Neurospora crassa OR74A: one gene and its partners. The protein of the gene in region 1 purifies or fractionates together with the protein of each later gene. This does not show direct contact. Links are inferred from orthologs where the notes say so. Each region holds a gene or a part of one and is shown on either strand. Other genes may lie near its edges.

Region 1 (4,244 bases):
TATCGAAGATCGCTCCACGACCTGCGCTACCAACGCGTCGGAAGCGCGCAAGCTGCTCGAAGCAAGCGCGCCGCGCACCATTGTGGTCATTCAAGATCCGACCATGGTTCGACGGACGGTGGCATGCTTCGACCGTGTCTACATGGACATGGCGCAGCCCCCGACAATCCTCGGCTGTCCGATCTTTGTTCCTCGCGTAAAGCGCAGCGGTGGCGGCACTAGCGGGCAGCTGGCATACGAATCACCGCCGGTCAACGAAGCATTGATGTGGAAGATGGACCGTTTCTTGCAGCTGGTCATGGGCGAGATTCCGCGATTGAGAGATGACGAATACGGCTATGGTCCCAAGGGCAATGGCTCCATCGTCCATGTGGATATTCCCGATGAGGTTGAGCAGGCTTATACGCGGCTTGCCGGCAAGATTGCGCATCGTAGATGAGTTTCCGGAAGTGATTCGCCGGGTGTCCGGGACGAGCTCTGTGGAGCCACACATTAGGCTTATTTTGTGAAGATAGACGAAAGAATTAGATACGAGTATAGAGAGTACCTAAAACGCATCTCGTTGACACCAATCAGATACCTTGCATGAAATTTGGTGGAATGGTGTTTCAGTAACAATTAAACCAAGGTTGATGTATATCAGTTACTTTTCAAACTACTACTTATAAACTAGGAGTCTCCTGGGTAACATTGTGATATATTGAAAGTCATGAGGAGGTTCACGATTCAAGACATTGGTCAACAATGCAATGTATTTCAAGGGAACGAAATCAAACAAAGCAACTCTATTACGCCAGCAGCCATGATATCTCAGCAAAAACCATTTTTACAAAACGAAATCAGTTATCAAACCCGCCCCATCCCTCATCTTCCTTCTCCACAGGCTTCTTGTCATTCCCCGGTAGCCTGTCATCCGACAATGAGTCCTTGGACCTCACTCTTATCGCGGGGCTGACCGTGCGCTGCTCCAGCTCCTCGATCTTCTCGATGATCCGCTGCACAATCTTGAGCGCCTCCTCGTCGCTCTCAAAGTCCAGCATGCCAACCTTCTCGGCCTCGTCCACCCAGATATCCAGCACGTGGATCTTGAGTCCCGAGGGTATCTTCTTGGCGAGGAGGTGAAGCGGGTCCTTGTTTTCCTTCTTCTTGGGTTTCTCTTTCCTGAGAGATTCGTGTTGGGGCTTGGCATCTTCGTCGTCCTCGTCGGCTTCGGGTTCTTCTTCTTCTTCGGAATCGCTATCCTCCTTGACGTCCTCGTCCAGCGCAAACGGCCACTCGGCAAGTATGTCGAGAACCTGATCGACTCTTTTGGCGTCCCACGCGCTCTTCTCCTTTCCGCTTCCCTTCTTCCCACCCTTTTTGTTGGATTTGGTAGCAGTAGCAGCACTGACATCCGCTTTCCCATCCTGCGCGCCCTTCATCCACCTAAAGGAAGCACCCACCACCCGTCTGACCAGCAACAAGAACTTTTCCATGCGCAGCACGTCGATCGACGTCCACTCGCGCGACATGGTCGCCCAGAAACCCCTGAGCCAGGGGACGACGGACTCCCGAGGGAGGATGTAGATGAGATCGGCGAGCTCCTGGGCAAGGGTCTGCTGGGGGATGGCGCGGTCGCACATCCACATGGCGTAGAAGAGACCCTTCCACAGCTTGAGAATGTCGATGGGCGAGAGCGTGGTGGCAATGTGCTTGGCAGAGAGGAAGGTGTGCAGGGAAGCGAGGGCTGACTTGCGGATTTTGCTGTCTATCGAAAAGGGAGAAAATGTCAGTGATGGAGGGCTTATCGAATGGGGAATTGGGTATACATTTTGAGTTTAGATAGAACGTGATTGGATGTAGAAGTGGTAGTATTGTCAAGAGATACAAGGTAGGCAAGTATCCCAAGTGGTGATGTAGCTTGTACTTCGATCACATGGCAGTGTATGTACTGGAAAGTGGGATGCAAACGTACCGCTCGAGGCGAGGTTCTTAATGAACGGCATATTTTGCGACGCCATCTTGACTGGTTTTTTTTTGGTGGTGTTTCCACTCAACTCGATTGTTTCGACTGTTTCGTTGTGTTGTAGTAGGGCCAAAACGCAAATTGGGTATACGCTGTGTAAAAAGACGAAGTACTGGGATCGGTTTCCTAGAGGCGACGAGATGCTGCTGCAGGCTGGGCTGGAGATGATGGTGGATGGAGTTCAAGCCGATTGAAACGAAATCTTGTCCGCCCGGCAGAAAAAACTGGTGGACCAAGCTTCCGAGAGTTGACAATTGGAGATAAGCAGCTGATAAGACTTTGCGGCAGGCATTTGGCTTGTCCAGCTATCGCCAAGATGCGGGGAGGTATGCGCTCGCTATGTGATTGGTGCATGCTAGTGACTGTGGATTCGGCTATGATCGGCAGGAACCCGACAGCAGTCGAATTCCATCCCGGCCGCACCCGTTCCCCAGCAACCTCTGCGGTGGTCACAGGTGACAGCTGAGTCGATGCCAGCAGCGTGAGGGCATGGCATTCAGTCACCAGCGACATCGTCGGCAGGGCGGAAGGTGCATCACGAAATTTCGATGGTCCCCGTCAATGTAGAATCCGGCTCCATCCATTCTCCTCCGTCCCGCTTCCCCGCCTTGCCCGCCCGTCCGCATTCCGCTATCGATTCGGGATCTCCTTCTTCCCGCTTGCTGTTTCCCCTGATCCCCATACTCTCCCCTAACTTGGTATCCATGCCACTCTGTCCGGACTTCTTCTGGAATCCTGCTTCTTTTGTCCACCAGGCATCGGGCCTAACGACATCCTCACCGCATCAACTGTCATGTGGCCTAGAGACTGTGATTTCATTGAAGGATTTACTTTGAAAAACTGGCGGTCTTGCTAGTCACTTTGATACGCTCAAACTTTCATTTTTTTTCTCAGCCCTGCAAATGGTCATGTGGACTTTGTGTTATCTTTTTCTAGTGTAGTGTCTAGTGTAGTGTAGATAACGTATACCAGCGGGCCGTCAAGCCTATCAGGTTCACATGAAGTCCGACAGCCATCCAGACCCAAAAGCACAGTAGTGTATCTTCTATGGGGAGGTTAGCACCAAAGGGGAAGCTCAGGTCGCGCCTGGCCAGACAGCAAGTGAAAATCCTCGGACTTTCTTTGCTTCAGTTAGGGGAAGCAGAAGGGGAACTGAGGACCAACCAGTGTCGTACTCCGACCACAGAGGGAGGAAGAAGCTGTCAGGGCTGTGAACCGTTGACCAATGCAACAAAAACAGGATCCAGTGACAGTCAGGGGTAGATCTACACGCCCTAACCCCGCGGCGACCATTGGGCCTTTACCCCGGATTGCGGTCTGTCTGGGGCGGGGAAGAGAGGAAAGCTTGAACAGAGACATGTGACAAAAAGGAAGGAAGCGCGGGGACATCTACAACATGTACCATCTTATTGGAGCGCTTACGCAGGTGAAAATGCGCCTTGAACATGCCACCTCATCTGAGTCGTATCTAAACGATAAAATAAACCCTCCCAAGCATGTAATCGCTGGATGTGTTCGACCTATCTAACGATTTGGCGTCCCTTGTAGTTTTGACTATCGGTGTTGATACGGACACACTAAATGGTTATCTTGACGATACCTACCTTGAGGTATAGTACTTTATCTGATACGAGATTGTCGTCTTGTGATTGGAATCGGAACTTTTAGGGGAAACGTCCAAAACCCGGGCTTTGGACGATATCAGCTTGGTTAGTGGAGCGGTTATCACTTCGGATCCTAATACAGGAATTTCCTACAGCTTCCGACAACCCTGGTTTGCTTCCAGGATCGATTTCTTTTCGGACATTCTGACCGTCGTGAATTGCTTCATTGTTTTTCTCTGGTCCACAGCCAGATCAAGGTAACAGGCGATTGTCCGGTCCCAAAATAGCCGATTCCCGTCGGGAGAAGCCCGCTCCAGCAAGCAGCTCCACAGGTCTCTCACACGTGCCAAGCACAGCCTGTAAAATCGCAAAAGCTGGTCTCCACGGGCAGTGGGACGGGACGCCGCCCATGTCCCCGCCATGCTGCAAGTGCTGCAAGTGCTGCAAGCTCTTTTGTGCAGTGAAGGCCTTCCGCATTCGGCCTCGAGGCTCTGTGTGCCTTGCTTGGCGTCTGGGCAGTGGAAACTGTGACTGTCTCTGACCTGTCGAAATATTCATCATTTGCCCCCTGGCATGACGATGCATGGAAACTTGGGGTCAATGACAAAGATTAACTCACCGTCTCCCTATTATGG
Region 2 (4,948 bases), on another chromosome or scaffold:
ACGTTGACGAGGACTATGACGATAGCGGAGAGGAGGACAAGAAGGGCGGAATTATTCCCGGTCCTTCCTCCGGATCCGGCCCTGCAGCAAACGAGTCCAAGAACGGAGCCTCAACGAGCGGTAGCTTCAACGGCATCATGGGACAAAAGTCAGAAAGCAACTGATTACATCATCTGCCGTGTACCTCGAGCTTCTGCGCGAGAGACAAGACCCAGTGTATCTGCTTATAATACGGCAGAGGTAGGAGAACCCAAGATCCTGTCGATGTCATAATGGTTTTGCTTATGGATGGGAATGTACGTCGACTTGTTCGTTTTATGTGGTTTGAAAGAGTGGTCATCATTTCACACACATGGATGATGGAGACAGAAGGACCTGTGAAGCTCAAGATCTCATGGGTGCGAAATGCACTATTTTACCACGTTTTGACTGACCGGTAGGAGATGAGGAGGGAGAGGAAGGAGCGGATTCCGATGTACATACATTATTATGACTTGTGTTTGGAATAGAAGCGTGTGCATGTCATCTGTTGGAAAGTCGACAGCGAGAAGGGAATGGGAATATCCTCAAGAGGCGGAAATGAACTCGCTGCTTTGCCATAGAGGCCAGTTAGAGAACATGATTACGATTGTCGTTACACTCTTGGGATCGTAATTGCAACGTCGTGATCATTCCCGCACGGGATACGGTGTTATTGAAATGGCTGAACGGCGCCTCAGCCCGAAAAGTCAAGGAGATGACAGCTAAGTGTAGTGCTTTCGTGGTTATCCCTTGTAACCAGTACGCCTTTGACCATGCATGTCCGCCTAATCATGTAATCATGTTAAGCCAACCCACTTGTTTTACATCTACGACTGTTATAATGCCCTTGTCCACGAGCTCGACAAGCTAGAGGTATTGAGTCAAGAAGCAGATGGGGCATTTGACAATGTCGTCATGCTTCTGACAGGCAGCTGACAACCCCAATAGATGGAGATCTCGCTTTGATCCAAACAGCCCAACCTAGGCTATTGAAAGCCACAACAGCTTGCTCTCTTTGACACCGTGGGCGCGGACATCGAATTCGGAGAATCAGCCGTGTGATCAAGATGGAGTCAAGGGGGGGAACAACGAAGATTGGAGCTCAACATATTGTAACCGACCAGACCAAACAGAGCCGTTGCCACGCGCAGGCGCCGAAAAAATCCCATATCTCGTATTCCATCTGCGAACGTACCTACGGCGGCAGCGGCGACGATGACGGACTTATACGCAGAGCAATCAAAGTCACGTTTTCTGCCACCTCAACAGGACTTTACCTTGTCATCAATGTGCCATTAGTGAATGGCCCGCCAAGCTGACTAAGTGTACGGGGTCGCTCTTGTGGGGTGGATTGTTCTGGGCTTGGCTGGTCATCGCTGGTTGGCTGGGCGGGCTCGAGGAACAGGAAGGCGGACATGCCCGCCGGAAAGGGCTCGCGCAAAAGTTAGGGCTCCGCTGCACTTGAGGCCCGTGCACGGTCCAATCCACACCACTCACACAAAAATTTGGCTGGTCCAATTTCTCTGGCGATACTTCTTGATTTTGTTTTCGCGGTAGTGAACTTTTTCCCACTCGACCATCAACAACCCGGGTACTTGGGATCATCAGCAGTCATGTCTCACCGTAGTAAGTAACGCCTCATCGCCGTCGCTGTCGCCGCCAGACATACGGTCTTTGTCGATTTCTACACGCAATCCCGACTTCGAGAGAATCGATGGAGCAGCTTTCCCGAGAGACGGTCGTCGCGATATCGAAATTTTCGACTTTTTGGCGACTGGATTTTGGGGAGCATGCGTGATCACGACTTGGACCTCATGGCAACCTGAACGTCCTTCATGCTGACTCGATGCTTCAGAGTACGAGGCTCCCCGCCACGGTTCGCTGGCCTACCTTCCCCGCAAGCGCGCGGCCCGCCACAGGGGAAAGGTCAAGTCGTAAGTCAAGCTTATCTTCTGGTACCATCGACAACACTATCGCTAGTAGTTTGGATCTTTCGCGATCGGAACTTGGGCAATAGGGCATGCGAACAGAGAGGCTGACCAGTTGCGCGTTCATGACAGGTTCCCTAAGGATGATGCCAAGAAGCCCGTCCACCTTACCGCCGCCATGGGCTACAAGGCCGGCATGACCACCATCGTCCGCGACCTCGACCGCCCCGGCGCCAAGGCTCACAAGAAGGAGGTCGTTGAGGCTGTGACCATCATTGATACCCCTCCTGTACGTACAACGCAGCCCGCTTGGCTCTTTTTGTGTCAATGGCTAACATCTCTCGCAGATGATCGTTGTGGGTCTGGTCGGCGTAAGTCTTTGATCCTGTCCAGCTGCCGTATATGGCCTACCGCGACCGTGTGATCTAACCCCGATATTAGTACATCGAGACTCCCCGCGGTCTCCGCTCCCTCACCACCGTCTGGGCTGAGCACTTGTCCGACGAGGTCAAGCGCCGCTTCTACAAGAACTGGTACAAGTCCAAGAAGAAGGCCTTCACCAAGTACGTCAAGAAGCACTCCGACAACAACGGTGCCGCCATCACCCGCGAGCTCGAGCGCATCAAGAAGTACTGCACTGTCGTCCGTGTTCTTGCCCACACCCAGATCCGCAAGACTCCCCTCAAGCAGAAGAAGGCCCACCTTATGGAGATCCAGATCAACGGTGGCTCCGTCGCCGACAAGGTCGAGTTCGGCCACGGCCTCTTCGAGAAGCCCGTCTCGATCGACTCCATCTTCGAGAAGGACGAGGTTATCGACGTCATTGCCGTTACCAAGGGTCACGGTTTCACCGGTGTCACCGCTCGTTGGGGCACCAAGAAGCTTCCTCGCAAGACCCACAAGGGTCTCCGCAAGGTCGCCTGTATCGGTGCCTGGCATCCTTCCCACGTCCAGTGGACTGTTGCTCGCGCTGGTCAGGCCGGTTACCACCACCGTACCTCGGTCAACCACAAGATCTACCGCATTGGCAAGGGCGATGCTGAGGACTCTGCTGCCACCGAGGTCGATGTCACCAAGAAGAAGATCACCCCGTATGTATCCCCGTCTGTCTTGAAGAAGTTGAAGAGCGCAAAACTAACCCTGTTCCAGCATGGGTGGCTTCGTCCGCTATGGCGAGATCAACAACGACTTCGTCATGGTCAAGGGCTCCGTTCCCGGTGTCAAGAAGAGAGTCATGACTCTCCGCAAGTCCATGTTCGTCCACACCTCCCGCAAGGCCCTCGAGAAGGTCGAGCTCAAGTGGATCGACACCTCCTCGGAGTTCGGTCATGGTGCTTTCCAGACCCCTGCCGAGAAGAAGCAGTTCCAGGGTACCCTCAAGAAGGACCTCGCTGCCAGCTCGTAAATTGGCTGCTGCAGTTGATCTCCTTGTTAGTCGGGTTGCATTGGTGTCACGGTTTTTTCGTTGCTCTTTCGGGTCGGTCGGGAAATGGGACTATACCTAGCATTTACGGCTTAATAAAAAGCTGTTGAAGAACAATGAAACGTTGATCCAGTGTACTGCCAAAGAGAGTGTCCTTCAGCAAAATGTGTTTTATGTGATGTGAACACGTGAAGAATCTGGTGGTTGGCACAGATTCGATGGACACTGTTGTTTATAACTTCGTATGTTTTATTCCAGGACTTTTGTCTTGGGCTGCTATGCCCCCACTAGTGTAGGGTAATGACTTGAAGGGACCAGTGGCATATAGATATACCCAATTTGATAGTCTTGAATGTAGCATGTCGTGTGATTCTCGTTGCCTGTTCTGCTGCGCTGGACGTGTTCGATTTATCAACTGTTCATGAGCTTCCACCTGTCATTCACTACCCGTCTCTATGCTTTCTCTTCCTGATATTGTTCATCTGCGATACCACGACTGATAATGATATCACTTTTCGACCATCTTCTCATATTCCTAGTCGTGCTTTTGGGAGTCCTCACGGCGTACATGGCTGTTGTTACTTGTTGAGGGCATATCAAACCCCGATCGACCTTGCAAGCAGCCCATCTCCTGATTGGTTGACGCTTCCACTCTTAGGCCAACGTGAGATCCGCCATTCCTAATTGGTTTCAGCTACTGCAGGTTACATCATCGGACGTTCGTTCGCATCCCACCACGCAGCCCACCCACCTGACTGATCATTGTCATCGTCGTCCCGCCCAACGAAACGTTCTCAACCTAAACACAACAACATAATGGTTTGAACTTCCCTAACCCTGACCCAGATCTGTTCTAGTTGCTTCTTCCATCCTCAACACAAACTCTTTGTCGACAATCCGCAAAGCTAATTACCCGGCTCTTTCTCGAACACCAGACACCCGCTGGATTGCCTCTCTCTCGAACAACTTCTACGCTTCTCCATTTGCAACGACCAGCAGCGCAACGATTTCTCACTCTCCCGCTCTTGCGCATCACTACGTCCCTTTCCGCAGGTACTACGCTTCATACGCCTCGTACACCGCACATCATCACCTCGACCGCGAAGCTGTCGTCTACCACCACCACCACATCGAAAATGGCCTCGGACGATTCCTACATGGCCTTCCTCAACAAGGCCAACGAGGACCCTTCGCTCGGGTACCCGCGCGACCGCCCCGACCCGGCAACGCAAAAAGTCGGCAGCAATACATTCAAGACGCGCGACGAGGGGGTTCCCCTCCCGTCTCCGATTGCCAAGTTGTTGGAAAAGGGGGATAAGTTCTATGTGAGCGATGCGGATGAGCCGTTTGAGGGGGTCGCGTTGAAGTTTGGGGAGGAGATGCTTCCGGATGAGGGTAAGTTTCTCTCTTTTTTTTTCTGTCGTGAGTTTGATGGTGGGTGGGACGGAGGGGGAAAGATTTCGTTCCTTTTTCTTTTTTTTGGGGCGGCGGGGGGAAGATGGAAGAGAAGGGAGGGCAGCAACAGGAACAGGAGCAGAAAAGGATGAGTCGAAAGACAAGAAAGATGCTGACATTT
Region 3 (4,461 bases), on another chromosome or scaffold:
AATCGGCTGTTGCGGGTAACTCGCGTTGGCGGGGTCGAGCGCGCCCGGGAGCAGGGTGACGGGCATGGTGGGGAGGAGATCACTCAGAAAGCTGTCCAACAGTTGGGAGGGAACCGGGTTGTAGGAGCTGCTGTCGTAGCCGTATTTTTTGATTTGTGGTTGGAACTTGTTTGTTACGGTGGTGGTGTCGAAGGCAGCCGCGGGTTTGGCCTGTTCGGCCGCCGTCGTGGAGATGGAGTTCCCCGCTATGATGAGGCGGGTGATGTGTGAGAGCTCGTCGCGTTGGACGGAGGGATCGAGCGCTTCGCCGAGGAGATACTCGAGAAGCAGGTTGAGTTCCATGGCGTAGGAGGTGTCGGCGTTGGAGAACTCGAGGCCGGAGACGAGGGCAATCTTTTTAGAGGAGGGCTTGTGGGACTGCCTGGAGAAAGAGGCGTCCATCATTTCGACGTCTTCGGAGGAGTCTGCTTCCTTTTTGCCTTTTGAGAGCGACCAGCGCTCGGGCTGTGGTGGTAGTTCGGCGAAGAGGAGGTCGATGACTTCGAATTCGCCGTTGGCGTTCTCGGTGCCCATTACCGCGACGATGCAGCCGGTCACCATGAAGTGGTTTTGCAGAGCGTTGCCGACAAGACGGATGCGGCCGGAGTCGTCTTCGAGCATTACCGAGTCTTCGCCGTTGCCGGAGTAGTAGTGGCCGACCGAGGTGGGAGCGGAGATCCAGCGCTATAACATCATTGTCAGCTGCCTGGTGTCCACCAAAGGATAGGCTGAAACTCACATCCTTGGAGACATCCTCGAGGATTGAGGGCTTTAGAGGCATGTCCATATATACTGTTCCAGCTACCCAGCATAGTTCTCCCTGGCGAACGTCTAGGACACGCTCGACCCTCTTGACCTTCTCACCACCAAGCACTGTTCCCTCCCAAGCGGCGCTGGCGGCTGCCTCGACGGCGGGCCTGATCTTTGTAAGACGCAAAAAGTAAATATCGGCATATTGTTGTTGATAGGGACGGGTTTTTTCGAGTTTGAAGGTATGAAGGGGCTTGTAGTTGGTGATCTGGCGCTGGAGAGCCTCGGGCGCATCGCCTCTTCGTGAAGTTGGGTTGTTAGCTGATGATCGCCAGTGGAAGATGGATGATCCACTGCTACTCACGAGGGCTTCTGTAGCAAACCGCTACCGAGAACTTCGTCCAAGGTGACCATCGTATGATTGATACTGACAATGGCTCAAGATGTGAGAACGACAAAAGCAATTGGTGACTTATTCATGTGCTGCCCGACTCGGAAACTGACTTCAAGGGACGAAACTCGACGACGCGCTTGACAATTTCGAGACGCGTAGCTCCAGTGGGTTCAATTAAGCCAGGTACATGACCGGTACTACTCTATACTAGTATAGTTTACATAGTAGCGGCGCTTCAGCACTGTGACCCTCACAGGAACCGTCGGCCCCGCTATAAAGTTCCGATAAGATAGGGGAACGTGGGGTAGCTAGAACACTCCAGACCCCTGCGCTGCAAGGCTGGACAGAAAAAATTGGATGGAGTCTTGGATTTGGCATGGCCTTGTGGTGTCCGCTGCAAAGTAAACATCCACACTCTCCTCCCGACGACGCCTGTTTCACGGTAATCTAAGCCAATCTGACTTTTACTTGTCAATTGATAGTATTCAGCCTGCCCATACCGAACAGCGACTACCCAATTCACATAATATCACAGCACAGGCACCGCCATGGACCACCCTACCGAATCAGGCGCCCAGGTCCGGGTGACCTTCACCACCCAGGAGGAGGACATCCAGCTCGATGAGAGCAAGCGCCAGCTCCTTGTCCCCGCCGACATCCGCCGTTATGGCCTCTCCCGTATTCTCAACTCCGAGTCCATGCTCGACACCAACTCGATCCCCTTCGACTTCCTTGTTAACGGCAGCTTCCTCCGCGGCAGTCTTGAAGAGTACCTCAACGCCAACGGCCTCTCGCTCGAAACCAACATCACCCTTCAGTACGTTCGCAGTTTGATCCCACCAACATACGAGGCCAGCTTTGAGCACGACGACTGGGTCAGCGCCGTCGATGTTCTTTCCGCTACTTCTCCCGCGGGCCGCTGGTCCGGCGACAACTTTCAGCGCGGCCAAGATCGCATCCTCTCCGCCTCGTACGACGGTCTCCTCAGGATATGGGACGCCTCTGGAAATGTGATTGGCACCTCGCCCTCGGGCAGCCACGGTGGTCACACTGCCAGCATAAAAGCTGCCAAATTCCTCTCCAGCACTCAGATTGCCTCGGCCGGCATGGACCGCACAGTTCGCGTATGGAAGTACACCGAGTCGGGCGAGTCGTACGAGCGTCGCGGCGAGCTGAAGCCCACTCTCGAACTGTACGGCCACACCTCCTCGATCGACTCGCTCGAGGTTGACGGCGCCTCGAAGCGCATCCTCACTGCCTCCGCCGACGGTTCCATCGGTTTCTGGACCACCTCCAAGGCGTCCGCGCCCGAAGTCTCCGATTCCTCGCTCCTTCCCGGCGCCCACACATCCAAGCGCCGCAAGCTCGCGACCTCCGTCACCGCCGCCCAGCGCGGCCCGCTCGCCCTTATGAACATCCACAATGCGCCCGCCACGGCCGCCGTCTTCGACCCCCGCGACCGCACCGTTGCCTACTCTGTGTCGCAGGACCATACCGTCAAGACCATCGACCTGACCACCTCCAGCGTGGTCAGCACCTTCACAACCTCGCATGCGCTCCTCTCTCTCGCTGCCCTGCCGCGCTCCTCGGCCTCGGCGCCCCTTCTCGCCTGCGGCACCTCCGCCCGACACATTACCCTCGTCGACCCGCGCACCAGCACGGCCGCGACGAGCGTCATGACGCTGCGTGGGCATGCCAACAAGGTGGTCAGTCTGGCGGCGAACCCGGAGAACGAGTACTCACTGGTTTCGGGCTCGCACGACGGGACGTGCCGGATCTGGGATTTGCGGTCGGTCCGGCCAGCGACCAAGGACGAGGGCGGCATGGGCAGCGTCAGCGAGCCCGTGTACGTTATTGATCGCGAGAGCCAGCAGGGCAAGAAGAAGAAGAGCAGTGTGACGGGCGACGGGTGCAAGGTGTTCAGCGTGGTGTGGGATCAGCTGGGCATCTTCAGCGGTGGTGAGGATAAGAAGGTGCAGATTAATAAGGGGAGGGGTGTGAATGCCGAGTAGAGGAAGAAAAATGGTCGGGAAAGAGGGGGTTGTTGATGAAGAGAAGGGAAGCAGCAGAACTTGGTTGTTATGATATACCCAGGATAGATAAAATGGAATGTGAATACTGTACAGGATATTTTTGTGATATCTGCAGGGACGAGGCCAAGAACAGCCGTGACAGATTCTTTCTGAACTAAACTGTACGCGAAAACTGTACTGACCTGGAGCATAGACTAGATGGCTTCTGCAGAGCCCAGTCAGGTTGTTCTGAGGATTATACAAGGTTCATCTACCAACGTCTAAAAGTAGCCAAGTCGGTCTCGGGGTATAGGTGCATCGTCGACATCTTTCCTTTCTTGTTCAGCACTCGACCAGCAGCTTGAGAGCCGGCTCAGTGACTTCTCGACATCTTCCTCAACCTCTCCACCTCTTCCTCATCAACCGTCGCTTGACTGCTGCTATTGCCCAGCGTCAACTCCTCATCAAAGTCCAAATCCCCAGCCTCCAACGCAGCCTTCATCACATCCTCCACGCTCTCTTCCTTCGGCTTTACCTCCACCTCTGCCTGTGTCTCATCTACCTCCTCACCCTCAACCTCCTCTACCTCACCTTCCTGCTCCTGCTCCTGCCCAAAAATCTCATCCAACAACTCCAACTCACTCTTCCCCTTCACCCCCTCCCCATCCATCACCCCCGTCCCATTCACCCCACGCGCCTCAGCCTCCTCATACAACGCACACAGCATCTGCACGCCCTGCCACCTGAACTTCAACGTCTCCTCCGAAATCACCCCAGACCCAAAAATCTCCTCCTTCATCCGCTTCGGCTCAAACGACAGCCTACCCTTTTCCTTCTGAATAGCCACCAGAATGTATTGTGCGGCCGTGCTAGTCTTGATGCCGAGCAACGCGGCCAGAGCTTCGCAGTTCATCGACGGATTACGAGACCAGAGGTAATAGGCGCGCAGGTTGGCGACGGAGAGGGGGGATTTGGGGGCAAAGGTTTGTTTGCGGGAGATATGGGAGAGGAGGTAGTTCTGGGCCCAGAGGGTGGCTTCGGAGATGAGGGGGTCGATTGGTTTGGGTACTTTGGACTCTTTGGACTCGTTGGATTCTTTGGAGGTCCGTTTGCGTTTTGTGGATGTTGTTGAGGGTTCGGTGGTTTTCTTGCTTGTGCCATTCTTGCCGGTTTTGGTGGTGGCAGAGACAAAAGCGTCTTCGCCGCTGAGGGTCGTGCTCCCGTCTCCTTCGATTTCGACGTTGATATTGTCACCCACAGTGGAGA
Region 4 (4,569 bases), on another chromosome or scaffold:
GCTGCTCTGTCTCTCTCTCCAGCCAAAGGAGTCATAGTCATTCAGTTAGTCAGAAAACAAGTCCATGAAATCGAATTGTACTCTGCATTGGTTGTTTATCACATGCCGTTATCGAATGAATCAGGGTGAAGTGGAGAATGAATGGAACGAACGGATTCAAAGAAATGAAAAAAATGAAGAAAGGAAGGAAGGAACCTGCTCCATGCAAGTAGTGTGTGTACCACCTGCCTTACCTCTACCTACCTAGTGTACTACCACCAGTGGCACAAATATGATGTACCTGAAAGCCCATCATTCCGATGGTCTGGTTTCTGGGCGGGCGGGCGGGGGACACTGAATGGTGTTACTGTTACGGTTACCGTTATGTACAACGAAACGGCGAGAAGGAAGGAAAGGATTACGAATAGAGGCGGCTGCGCTGTACCGCTACGAGAATAAATGACATTGGTTGATTGGTAGGTAAGTAAGTAGGAAGTACTTGTGCTCGCAACCCAACGACGTGGAAGCAGGAAGAGAGAAAAGATAATACTGTAGGCACTAAGTATCTAGGTAGAATAGTGAGGACAGTCATCGAAAAAAAAAAAAAGGTTTCGTTTCTGAGAGGTCACTACAACAGTGGAAGCAATGTACCTACCTGGGTTACCTTGCTTTTAACAAACAGTTCTCTGCCCGATTGGAATATGCAGGGTGAACTGATTGATGGATATCTCGCGCCTTGAAATGTTGTGGTTGAAAAAAAAAAAAAAAAAAAAAAAAAAAAAAAAAAAGACAAAACATGAGCAGCGTGGAGAGAAAGAGAGGGAGTGCAATATCTACTTCTTACACAAGTCATCACCATCCGACACGTCAATGGGGATGAACGGCATATCGAGTTCTATTACCTAGATCGTTTTGAATCCAATCACACAGCCGTGCACATTCAACCCCGGTGTAAAAAAGCAGTGAAGACCAAAAATATATGAAATATTCAAACATCAGGCTTTTTGAAAACAAAAGGAAACCGAACCCTATATACAAATGTTACTACAAAGGCGCCTGGGCATGCTCTCCTTTTTTCTTGCCTCTCTATAAAACGTGGACGGGCGGCTGGGGTGGCGGCAGAATCCCAACCCGTCTTCTTCTGCTTCCCAGTAGGTATAACAGCTTATTTCGAACCAAATAACCAACCGTAAGAGGGATATCATCTCATCACATCTACTCCTCATCTCCACTCTCCTCCTCCTGGGCCGCAGAAGCAGCAGCAGTCTTCTTCTTCTCAGCCGCCGTTCTCGCCCACTCCTGTGCCTTGGCGCTGACTCTCTCCCTGCTCTTCTTATCACCGTTCTTCTCCTCCCACTGGGCCCACCTCCTGAACCAAGCCTTGGCCTGGCGGGGCTTGAGGCCCTTGACCTTGCTACCGCGATCAAACAGGTCGCGGATAACGCCCTTGTCGGCGTCGGCCGCCGAGGTCTCGAGGTCGATGAGCTGGTTCCACAGGTCGAACTTCTTGGGGTAGGTGGCCAGCAGGTTCTCGAAGAGGGTGCGGCCCTGCTCCTTGTCGCCGTTGGGCGAGCGGAACTCGAGCGCGGCGAACTTGGGCAGAAGGGCGAGGTACATGTGCGTCTCCTTGCCGAGCACCTGGGTGGCGCGCTTGAGGAGGGCGCGGGCGCGGTCGGGCGAGTGCGCGGTGGTGTGCAGGAAGTGAGCGTAGTTGACCCAGACTTCGGGGGATTTGTAACCGAACTCCTTGACGATCTTCTCGAAGAGGTCATCGGCTTGCTGTTGTAGGGGAATTATGTTAGTAATTCTGTAACCACATGGATTTTTTTTTCAGGGGGGGTGGGTGCTTACCTTGCGCTTGCCAGATTGGATGTAGATACTGGCCAGACGCTCATGGACCTCCTGCTTGTCGTTGTATGTGCAAGCCCGCTTGAACACCTCGTCGACTGTCTCCTCATTGCCATAAGCAACCTCCAAGTTGAGATAGGCAATCCAGACGTTCAGCTTCTCGATCTCCTCCTTGATGTTGATCGTTTTGATGGCACGCTCAGCCACTTGTCTGGCAGCGGCCAGATCGCTCACCTGCATTTGGAAGGCCATGTAGGCGATCCAGAGCTGGGAGGAGTTAGGCTGACCAAGAAGTAGACGCTCGTAGTCGCTGGCGGTTTGAGGTCCATCAACATCGAGCGAGGCAGTCTTATCGACCGTAACCTGAGGCTCGCGGCGAGCCTTCTTCTTCTTGGCCAAGGCCTCAAGATCCGCCGCAGAGGCATTGGCCTTCTCGCCATCCTCCAGAGAAGCAGACCAGTCGAAGCCACCGGCCTCAAGACCCTTGACATCAGCGTCAACCATCTCGACATCGCTAGCCTCATCCTCATCTTCGGACTCGTCCTCGACGTTGTCGGTACCAGTAATCTGGACGGCGTCGTCGGCGTCGCTCATATCCTCATCAGAGTCATCGCCCTCACTGTCCTCGGCATCCTCCTCGTCAACGTCCATCTCATCCTCATCATCCTGCTCGCCAAAGTAGGATGGCTTCAAGCCAAGGTTGATTCTCTTGGCAGTTATGTCCACCTTCAGGACCTTGGCCTTGACCTTGTCACCTTCCTCATACAGCTTACGAGCATCCTTGACGGTCTTGTCAGACATCTCGCTACGATGGCACAGGCCAGAGAGGTTGGCGGAGCCATCGATGTCGATGAAGGCACCAAACTCCTCGACCTTGCGGACGCGACCAGTAATGGTCTGGCCTTCCTTTAGGTCGGAGATGGTGGTGAGAGGAACGTAGTCCTTGTCGACAACAGAAGGCTTCAAGCTCATCTCGATACGGCCGTTGGCAACAGAGATGATGCGCCCCTTGACGAGCTGATCAACCTGAAACTGCTCCTTCCAGTACTTGAGATAAGCATCGGAAAGATTCTTGATCTGGACGAAGGCGGTGACAGTGCCACCGAGAGTGACGAAGAGACCCTTGTCAGAGACGTTCTTGACGAAACCACGGACAATTTCGCCAACTTCGAGCTTGGTGTTCTGAGTGATCTCCTTATCCTTGACCGGAAGCGAAGAGTTGAGGATGCGAGAAGGTCTGGTAGACAGACGTATCCTCTTGTTGCTCTTGTCAACTTCAACGACAGCAACACGGACGATCTCGTTCTTAGCGAACTTGGCAGGGTTGGCCTCTTCGTAGTCATCGACAAGATCAACCTTATGAACGGGTCCAGCCAGGCTCTCGCTAAGCTTGACAATGACCTGGCGTTCGTCAACCTTGGTAATCTTGCCGACAAGGATGACATCCTGTGCGATCTTGTCCCAAGTCAACTCGTCCTCGGAACCAGGAGATCTGGCAGAGAGATCGAGGCGCTTGGATTCGGCATCCACAGAGACGACGCGGACGCGGAGGGCCGAGCCAATAGGGAAGTTCTTCGCAAGGTTGGTCAATAAAGAGACATCGTCAGAGGCCTCCATCGCATTAACTCTGCCGCGAACAGTGGGGGAAAGGTTGACCCAAAGGTGGCCTTGGCCAACATTGTTGACGAAGCCCACGTAGCTAGAACCAACCTTGAGGTTGTCGAAAGACAGCGGCTCGGAAGAGGCGCCCTCCTTGACATCGCTGGGCTTCGCGGACAGTTCGAGGACGGAGTGGCTGGATCGGTGGGAAATGGGCAGGAAGCGGTGGTTGCGAGCGTCATGGACGCCCAGCACGCGGACAGGGACGACCTGATTGGGCTGGAATCTCTTCAACGGCTTCTTGGTATCCTTGATCTGCTCCCAGCTGTCGTACACCTGAGAAACATCAATACGACCCTGAATGTTATCAGCGAGCTGAACGTTGAGCTGGGTGTCCTTAACGGACACAATGCGAGCCTTGGTCAGCTTGCCAATGGAAATATCATCCAAAGTGGTAATGGATTCATCCACGGGGTTAGCGACCTTCTCGCCCTTGGTCTCGACCTTCTTAACCTGCTCCGCAGCACCGGGGATAGCAACAACCAGGCGATTAAGCTCGGTGTTAACCGAAGTGATCTTGACAGTAACAGACTGAGACTTGAACATGCCAAAGTCGGGTTTGTCCTGATCCTCGCGAGGAATCATAGACTTGGGAAGCAAGGCGGTCAACTTGCCACCGAACTGGACGAAGACAGCCGTAGCAGTGATGTTGCGAATATAACCAGAAACCTCATCTCCGACGCGAGCACCATCAAGGGTAGTAAGGAACTTGCCTTCCTTGCTAGCCTTGACAAGGCTGGGCTTCTGGGAGAGAATGATGGAACGGCGAGCCTCGTTCTTTTCCAAGATCACCAACTCGGCAAGAGTCTGGTTGACGTGAATTTTCTTGAGGGCAGACTGAGTCTTGCTGACCGACTTGTCCGTCAAGTGAGCGACGGGGAGGATGGCCTTGAGAGAGCTATCGGCAAGCTCAACAAAAACATCGTCGTCAGTTTTCTGCGTGACCTTAGCCGACACCACATCACCGATCTGAAGCTTCTTGAGGGCCAACTGCTTCTCAAGACCAAAGGCAGATGGGTCCTTGCAAGAAACAATAAGCTTGGCGGCATCGGGGTCGAAGCTGATGACGTAGATGCTGACAGT

The links.
Region 2: the proteins of NCU07942 (region 1) and NCU06843 purify together in Saccharomyces cerevisiae (affinity purification with western blotting; 3 studies listed by BioGRID, with this or other methods). This does not show direct contact. The link is inferred for Neurospora crassa OR74A from reciprocal best matches to the Saccharomyces cerevisiae genes RRP1 and RPL3.
Region 3: the proteins of NCU07942 (region 1) and NCU03764 purify together in Saccharomyces cerevisiae (affinity purification with mass spectrometry; 3 studies listed by BioGRID). This does not show direct contact. The link is inferred for Neurospora crassa OR74A from reciprocal best matches to the Saccharomyces cerevisiae genes RRP1 and YTM1.
Region 4: the proteins of NCU07942 (region 1) and NCU06272 purify together in Saccharomyces cerevisiae (affinity purification with mass spectrometry; 3 studies listed by BioGRID). This does not show direct contact. The link is inferred for Neurospora crassa OR74A from reciprocal best matches to the Saccharomyces cerevisiae genes RRP1 and RRP5.

What each region holds. Positions count from the first base shown.
Region 1 is NC_026504.1:1,277,179-1,281,422, forward strand, and holds NCU07942 (hypothetical protein), read right to left. Parts: upstream 2,211-4,244; 5' UTR 2,001-2,210; coding exon 1,955-2,000; intron 1,748-1,954; coding exon 840-1,747; 3' UTR 740-839; downstream 1-739. Other genes in the region: NCU07943 (DUF218 domain-containing protein), read left to right, coding at 1-439. UniProt on the Saccharomyces cerevisiae protein: Required for 27S rRNA processing to 25S and 5.8S.
Region 2 is NC_026502.1:1,783,123-1,788,070, reverse strand, and holds NCU06843 (60S ribosomal protein L3), read left to right. Parts: upstream 1-1,505; 5' UTR 1,506-1,634; coding exon 1,635-1,647; intron 1,648-1,876; coding exon 1,877-1,955; intron 1,956-2,081; coding exon 2,082-2,238; intron 2,239-2,296; coding exon 2,297-2,320; intron 2,321-2,390; coding exon 2,391-3,040; intron 3,041-3,098; coding exon 3,099-3,354; 3' UTR 3,355-3,793; downstream 3,794-4,948. Other genes in the region: RCM-1, read left to right, coding at 1-164; NCU06844 (hypothetical protein), read left to right, coding at 4,189-4,191, 4,308-4,767. UniProt on the Saccharomyces cerevisiae protein: Component of the ribosome, a large ribonucleoprotein complex responsible for the synthesis of proteins in the cell.
Region 3 is NC_026505.1:2,339,899-2,344,359, forward strand, and holds NCU03764 (microtubule associated protein), read left to right. Parts: upstream 1-1,537; 5' UTR 1,538-1,731; coding exon 1,732-3,195; 3' UTR 3,196-3,310; downstream 3,311-4,461. Other genes in the region: NCU03763 (DNA polymerase delta subunit 2), read right to left, coding at 1-723, 779-1,088, 1,154-1,203; NCU03765 (3'-5' exonuclease/helicase), read right to left, coding at 3,569-4,461. UniProt on the Saccharomyces cerevisiae protein: Component of the NOP7 complex, which is required for maturation of the 25S and 5.8S ribosomal RNAs and formation of the 60S ribosome.
Region 4 is NC_026503.1:2,149,121-2,153,689, reverse strand, and holds the end of NCU06272 (mito ribosomal protein S16), read right to left. Parts: coding exon 1,831-4,569; intron 1,759-1,830; coding exon 1,195-1,758; 3' UTR 857-1,194; downstream 1-856.